Tribolium castaneum: one gene and its partner. The protein of the gene in region 1 interacts with the protein of each later gene in a pairwise test. Links are inferred from orthologs where the notes say so. Each region holds a gene or a part of one and is shown in the gene's direction. Other genes may lie near its edges.

What was found.
Region 2: the proteins of sog (region 1) and Lab interact in binary tests that used the Homo sapiens proteins (3 or more experiments, as listed by UniProt). The link is inferred for Tribolium castaneum from reciprocal best matches to the Homo sapiens genes CHRD and HOXA1.

What each region holds. Positions count from the first base shown.
Region 1 is NC_087395.1:22,989,654-22,993,483, forward strand, and holds part of sog (short gastrulation), read left to right. Parts: intron 1-3,384; coding exon 3,385-3,488; intron 3,489-3,757; coding exon 3,758-3,830. UniProt on the Homo sapiens protein: Dorsalizing factor. Key developmental protein that dorsalizes early vertebrate embryonic tissues by binding to ventralizing TGF-beta family bone morphogenetic proteins (BMPs) and sequestering them in latent complexes.
Region 2 is NC_087397.1:6,654,561-6,659,147, reverse strand, and holds the start of Lab (labial), read left to right. Parts: upstream 1-1,466; 5' UTR 1,467-1,484; coding exon of another isoform or gene 1,485-1,493; coding exon 1,494-2,124; intron 2,125-4,587. UniProt on the Homo sapiens protein: Sequence-specific transcription factor. Regulates multiple developmental processes including brainstem, inner and outer ear, abducens nerve and cardiovascular development and morphogenesis as well as cognition and behavior.

The sequences.
Region 1 (3,830 bases):
CGTCATAAAGACAGTACCTGACAGGACCTGAGGCCAACCTAAGAAAAATATATCTACGCCTGCTGAGAATTTAAAACAATCAAAGGTGACTTGATGAACAACCATCCAAGTACGCCTGCTTCCAATTCCAAGAAAAACTTTAACAAAAAAAAACAAAAAAAAAACTGAAAAGTACTTCCAATTCCAAGAAAAACTTTAACAAAAAAACTGAAAAGGACTGAACAAATCGGCGAAACAAATAGAATCACTATTTAGTTCACCCTCTTGTCTTCGACTCAATGTAGTTTTTAGCTCGGTTCAGTGTTTTTCTCCAATTCATAAACGTGTTTATTTCATTCAACGTTTAAAAAATACAAAAACTGCCCCATTTTTGGAATTATTCGATTAATTTGTGGCGAAATTTTAAACTCAGTTTCATTGTATGATTATCAAACTTTTATGGGCGGCCACTGGTATATTGCCGTCACCCAAAAACCTACAGTAAAACCTCTCAACAACGGACACCCATGGGGAATCCTTAATTGTCCGTTGTGGAGAGATGCCCATTGTTAAGAGGTGTCACCGTGTGGCCAATAATTAAATTGGGAGTCAAAAACGAGTTGTATCGTAGGCGCTGGACCTCGCAAACACCTTCAATTTCTGTTTTGGATGCCTCCTTGTTTTTTATTCTTCTGCTTATTAATTGTTGTGTTTTTCTTTGCCCGGTTTGGATGTGAGGATAGGTCCGATTGCGAGTTGCGTGTGTGCGATTCGGGTGTTAATTATGGTGTTGGCGGAAGTAGTTATTCGACTCGTTTCGGGAATCAAAGGTCTAAATATAGTCGGATAAAAGAGGAGCGGGTGCCGGGCGCGTATTTGCAACCACATTACCAGATCGTTGACTTTGAATGCGGCTGTAATACTGACATATTGAGAGAGCGGTCGGTTGTGGCGCCGGCCGCGAAATCGAATTAAATTAAGATTAAACAGACGTAATTATCGTGCTATTAGTCCGCGAACGGCGTTATTTATCGGCTTAGCGGTCCAACGGTGTCGTCAGCGGACCAGGAAGCGGTCGCCTGCACCTTTGCAGCTCGCCTCTTGGCCGATGCGCCTCGTCTAGAGGTGTGTCGTCCGTCTGCGGCATTGAATTCGCGCCAAGCTCGATATAACATGACTAATATATCCTGAGGCCCATCTGGATTGAACTCCTGGCATTTGAGCGGCGTCTAGCGTCTTCCACATGGCGTGCGCTGCTGAGCACTCTCACTTTCGCGCGGCTCATGGCGAACTTCCGCCAAACTTCGCCCTCTAGTTTGAGCAGAAAAGGGCGGCAGCAGCACTGCTGCGACGCCATATTATCGCAAAATATGCGCTAGTTATACTTACTTACATTCCGGAAAAAATGAAACCAGTTCTCAAGAGAGAGAATTGTAGCTGTCTCAGCCCACCGTGAAGCGAAAAACTTCGCCGTGCACAACAAAAACAAGGCGAAATTGTTCTGCTTAACGTAAATAAGACATTCGCCATCAACTTGTTTAATAAAGGTATCATTACGGCAAGACCGGGTTCTACCACCGGTGTTGCGACAAAACCACCCGCGAACTGCTGACGTCACGACAGGCGGCCTTGACGCGCTACCGAAACCTGGGTATTGGACCCAAAATGCGCCTTTCTAATTCATTGAGAACGAAATTGTGTACTTGCGAGCTTTATCGCTCCGCCTGCACCAATTAGATAAGGTGGCGATTTGCGCGAAATTTAGCCATTACGACACGGATGATTTTTACATAATTGCAGGTAAATGCGAGCAATCTAGTTCATGTTATTCAACATGCTGATGTGTTAACATGTGATTTCGATTAAATGCAATGTCATTTAAACGAACCAAGTTTGAGAGATTAATCAGTCCATGGCGTTGGTTTTTATTCCCAGACGCCTAGCCTGACCTCACCGATACAAACTCGCATTATATTTAAAATAAGGACTTTTAAAATAATAATCTAAAGGTCGTCAAAGTGACGCGTCAGCTCAACGCCTGAAATCTAAAAGTAGATGATAAAACACTTGGATTTCGCAAACCGCGTCTGTTATTTTAATGAAAAACACATTTTTACCGCCGCGCGGGTTACAACCAAAGTTATTGAGGCGTCCTGATGCCACTCAACTAGCGTTTTGCTTTCTTCAGACTATGATTTCTAGATATAAATCATGGACACGTCAATTGCCGTTGGAGGCAACTTTCACTGAGCGTTTTTCAGTGTTTTATCGCCTTTTAATTTTCCGTGCACGCCGCCACTGGCTGCACTTTTGTCCGGCCCGAGCAGCAACCTATCCATTTAATTTATTAAAATGCATTAAACGCCTGCATGCAAATGCGCGTCTAATGTCTATGATTACGCGGCAATTGCCCGTTTTTTCCCATTTATTAATTACGCTGACTTAATTGTTTCACCCGCGATCACGTGTGTGTCCAAAATGGCCGGTGTAAAAGTAAGCCGCACACTAAGTGGAAATGCATGTTACGAGCAAAGATCACACCTCCGAGTTGACATTTGCGAAGTACGATGCAATGTAGCAATGCGAGCGATTCTAAACAGTTGGAAATAGTCGCGCGCGCTTTAATTATAAAGCGACCAGACAAAAAACAAAAAACAACGATAATCGTCAAAAATACGACGACGTAGTAAACATATTTTTGAGGCCAATGTCGCTTAGATCACCGAATAATAATAAAAAAAGCGCACGCGGTTCGGTCCCGTTGCGCAACGGCCGGGGGTTCCATCGGGGGGGCGCGCAATTAAACCTACAGACACGTTGTCTGCTGCAATAGTTGGGAAAGGTCAAATCTAAATCGATGTGCGGGGGCATGGCCGCATTGCCGGGGGACACTTGGCACACGCCGCCAGCGCAAGGGCCAACAACCAAAAAGGACAAGATGCACACAAAAGGCCCTACGCTCGAATAAAGTCACCAACTTTGGATTAAACGACTGGTGTTCCCTTCAATACCCAAAGTGGGCGAAGTGGGCTTTTGGCGAAAATCTATACCTCCTTTGTGTCATTATGATCCAAAATTCGTCAATGAACGAAACTCAATTTTCATGTGACTGACTACTGAAGCACCTCAGGGCATAATTTATAGTACACAGTTTACTTCAGAAGTAGTTTCTATTTGTTTCGTCGATTTGTTCAGTCCCATTCAGTTTTTTTGATAATTTTTTTCTTGGAATGGGAAGCAGCAGGTGTACTTGGACTTCGCTTGTAGTTTCGAGATCTTCCGAGCGAATCATTTTTTTGTTTTGAAGAAAGTGTTAAGTTGGCGCAAATTCTAATAGTTAAAAAATGGGGTTATTTTGCCGACTATGAAAGTTTTGGGCTGGTTTTGATGTGTGTTTTGTTGCAGAGTGCGTGTTCGGGAAGCAGGTCCGCGAGCTGGGCTCGCAGTGGATCCCCGACCTCGGAGTGCCCATCGGCGTCCTCTACTGCATGAAATGCGAGTGCGTTCCGGTGAGTGACATTCATTGAAAGCGTCTCCGAGCCCGATAATCCATTGATGAATAATTCACTGGGGGAATAGTTTCACGCTCGGAGAGTGTGTCAGCGGCGATTTCTCGTCGGCGAAGAGCCCGAGATGGGGGCGTCTAGGTAGAGGTCAGGCGGGTCGGTGACCGGCAACCGTTCCATCTGTGATCTACCGACACCTTTCGCATCTCGGCGCCCTCGCCGCCGCTAACTGTAACCTCCCGTTTTGATTTGGTTCGTTCTTTTTTCGACAGCTCCAGAAGAAACGGCGGATCGTGGCGCGGGTCCAGTGCCGGAGCATCAAGAACGAGTGCCCGGAGCCCACCT
Region 2 (4,587 bases), on another chromosome or scaffold:
ACAATATTTCATCAATAAAATTACAAAGTGCTAAATACAACACAAAAGTTAAATCCAGAAATGTGTTTTTCTCAAAATACCTAGGTATGAATGTGAACAATACCTATTTATTTTTTTTATGAGAAAGTCCAAATATTATTCTGCAGCGAAATATCTTCCTTCATGAGTTTTTTTATCTATTATTTTTGCTACACTCACAATCGTCTGTTGCCTTTCTCAAGAAATTTTAAGAAATCATTTTAGTCGTAATGGACACACACATATATGCAAAAAAAGCTTGATGTCTAGGTATAAGCGCATACCTACCTATAATCTATAATTAATATTTATTTATTAATACTAAGATTTAAGATGCTAATGTTTATGAGTGTAAATCGGTCGCTTTATTTTACGAGTGAATTTTTAAAACACGAGTGATTTATTTCACCACGAGGTGAAATAAATGAACAGATTTACATAAAAACGAGTTGAATACAACATTTTATTCATCGAATTAGACTCAACAAGGCTTAAAACTGCTTTAAATTTGCTAAAATAATTTGACGTATTATATTAAGAAATGCCAAACAATTGTCAAAACTGTCTTACACAAAAGAAATACCTAAGTATATTAATTATAAAACGCATTACAGTTTATGCTAAACGTTTGAATTAGGATACTTAGGTACCATATATCTTTTTATGGTATAGCATACATGCTATATATATCTTTGACATACCTATGTGTCACTCTGATCTGATAACGATTAAACTTTTTTTAAACTTGGGTATGTTTTTTATTCAAAATGATACGTATAGCTTTTACTATTTATTTATATATTTATTTCATAGCTTCAATAATAAATTATAGGTATTTGTATAATTATTAATTACCTACAATTTTTTATGTAAATAGTCTTTCAGACTACCCCGGTCGCCTCCAAAAATTTAATATCTATAAAATTATAGATAGGACTTTTATTGAAAACGTATATTAGAAGCAGCATCAAACTTTAATATACTTAACCGTGAATTTTTTATCCCCTCTCGTCTTATCAGCAGGGAAAGACCCCGAAGTCGCGTCTTACCACCCCTCAATAAATTATTAAATTATTACATTTCGGGAATCAAACTTTTCTCAAACCATCTCAAAAATTTTCTCCCCAGCATCACAATATGAATAAGTCGATAAGGATCTCGGCCTCAGCCCATTAGAAACGCCACATGCGAACAATACAAGGCGAGCTGTCATGTCACACACAGTAGCTGACACTTGTACCATTCACTGGGATTGAAATGTTCCCTTATAAAACGGTACAATGATGGCTGGATCCAGACCAATCCCTCATCCAGCATCAAATGATCTTCGTGGGGCTGCTCTGCCATTGGTCGGCCGTCCAAAGCGCGCAGAAGCAAGCTCCTCCCTCTGACACATATCGCGTCTGCCGTGCAACAGCATAAACAATCGAGTGCTTGCCATGTGACGTGTGTGCAGTGCCGACTTGATGAAAATGATGATGATGGACGTTGGGATGTACGGCCATCACAGTCAACATGGGACATACCCATCGGATAACTACTACAACTACACCAGTGATATACCAAACGCCCAGCAAATGCCCCCACATTACTCCAATTACCACTACGAAGACCCATATGGGTACACCGGCTCGGAGGAAACACCACCGTCGCCCCAAGAAGTCTACTACCACCACCAGACCATCCCCCAAGACAATCCCATAATCAATACAGAGACAGGACTAAGTTACACAAACTTGGATTATGGTAACTCAAACTTCCCCCCCATCAACCACCAGAATTACAACGAACCCTATCAAAGAACCCATGAGAACATGCTGCTGAGGCACCATGAGGAGGTGGCCGATGGGCACCAGCACCACTTCCTCCACGAAAACAAGTACCAGTTGGAGGTTGACTCCGGGTACCACCTTGGGGCATCGAGCACCCCCACAAACTCCTGCATGGAGTACCAACACCTCCACAGGTACAAGGAGGAAGCGCTGCAGGGAGATGGGAGGATGAGACAACACGTTATGCATAATTTGAGTTCGGTTCCTCAGCCACAACCAGTGTTACCAACTTATAAGTGGATGCAAGTCAAAAGGAATGTACCAAAACCAACAGGTGAGTCAACAGATAAAAATTTTAGCTTTTCAAAATTTTCTTATCTTATTGATTAGAGCGGAAACGTTTCGTTACATTTGTTTATTGGAAGTTTAGCGACGCCACGCGATTGGAAAATCGTTGTTTTATAGCTTATTTTCATTAACTCTGACAAAGACTAAAAAGACAAGTGATGCGTTTCGTAATTTACTAAAACAAATGTCAATTATTATTAATATCAAACAATTATCAACTGTGGGTGAGAAAATAATTGGAACACTATTACATGTTTCTGGGTTAAGTTACAAGATAAGCCCGAAACGAGAAACGTTTCTCATGATTAAAAATTAAAATTTAGTTGCTTTGCAATTGAAATTGGAAAAAATGTGGAAATACACTTCCCATATAATGAGAACTACCACTAAATGAATAAATTCCAGAAAAATAACAGCGCATTTTTGCTTAATCGCCAATACCACAAAATTAAATTATATCACAAAAATAATGAAAATTTTTACTTTATTATTTACGAGTATAACGTTCTATAGAAACAAATATTTTTAAAACTGCTTATAGATAAGTATACTCTCACTTACCTGCAGACGGTTTCACCTTAGCTTTTTAATTAATACACAAATTCAAAAAATAAACATAAAACAGCTAATAACAAATGCTTACACGGTTGATATTTCTTCTAAGTAATTCCTAATCAAATGAAACAAATTACAATTTAACACAAAGTACGGGATAATATGTACATATATATATATATATATATATATATATATATATACATTCTTGCTGCACATAATAAATAAACTACGTAAAAATTAAAACCTAAATATATTTTTCGGTAAAACATGTTTTAAGATTTATTTATTTATTTTAGAATTTATGAAAAATAAAAACTAAATAAAGCTTTTATTTCAGTAATATCAATGCTAGTTAAAAAAAAACATAACTTACATAAAAGAGAATGGAGTTATGGCGCTGTGTTGAAAATTGATTGTTTCTTTTGCTAATGAATCCACTTATAGGTATCAGTTAACTGTTTAATGATAAATAGACATCATTTTTCATTCGCAAATTGCCAGAAGTTTTACAGTTTCTTTAAAAGCAGGAGTATATTAAAGTAAAATTAAATGAAGAAATAAAAATAACGAGAGAACAGAAAAAAAGATTTTGTTTTTTTTTTTAATTGAAAAATGAATTAGTTTTTTTATATTATTTTTTTATTTTTATTATTTGTTATATATATTTTTATATTTACTATCACCTACCACAATATTTCAATTCAACTCAGCATGGTATAATAAAAAAACGACAATTAACAAGAAATAATAACTATCAGCTGTGATAGTTATTAAATAATTTTAATTAAATTTTTTATTTATTTACCTACCTACTTTCCAATTTGTCTAGATTTTAAAATAAAAAATAACGTAAAAATTACAAGCATTATAAATATAGAACAAAAAATTTCTCAAAATTCAAGCTAAAAAAATCATTGCTATAAATAAGTTTGTATTACATACCTAATCAAATTAGTAGTAGCTTACTAAATTTAAAAACCAGACATGAAATACTTTAATAAAAATATTAAATACAAAAATTTTAAAAAAGGCTGTAGTTTTTCATCAGCAGAAATTTTTTTGCGAGAATAACTGCCTTAATGCTGCTGAAAGATTATTAGGTGCAGAAAAATTATTACAATGACTGTAAAGAGTAAAGACAACAATAACTTTAATTTATTTTCCCATATCCACACATGTAAATTTTTTATTTTGCTATGTTTATAATTCTGTACAGCTATTCTAGATTTTAATGTATTATGTACAAAAATAGGTAAGAAAATTTTGTGGGTATTACTAACCCAATTTAGTTCTCTCAACATCATTCAAGTCACTTCTAAAAAAATACTGCAAATATAGGTACAACTTCCAGAAAAAACTCACACTAACAGTGCAATTCTATGCCAAAAGCTCAGCAGAAAATTTAGCGGCGCTAAAACTGTGTTTTTTGATGCTGTTATTTGTTACATGAGCCCAGTGGCATCAGTTGCAATTTTAAGAGTGTTTTATGAACCCTTCCAATTCCATAACAGTTCATTTAATCCTCAGTAAAGCGAAACACGCTTCCCGCGAAATAAAAAGCTCCCTAATTTACGACTCCTGCTACCATACAATGTTGCAAGCATGACTATTCCAACATTCTTGTTCTCCTTGTAAATTTCATTTAGTGAAATCGATTATGCATGCCATGTCAGATCTCGGTCGGTGATAACTACACTTGACCCTTACGTAAATTGCCCCTTGCGTACTTTATACCCACATGACACCCCGATCAATTTGTGGCGTTACACTCATCGCTTAATTACACATCTTCTCACATTTAATTACAAGAATCTACATTGTGCATAGCACGAAAAGAATGCCGTTTTTTTGGCTTTGTGCACACACGTCGTGGCAATTTTTCTCGCTCGGA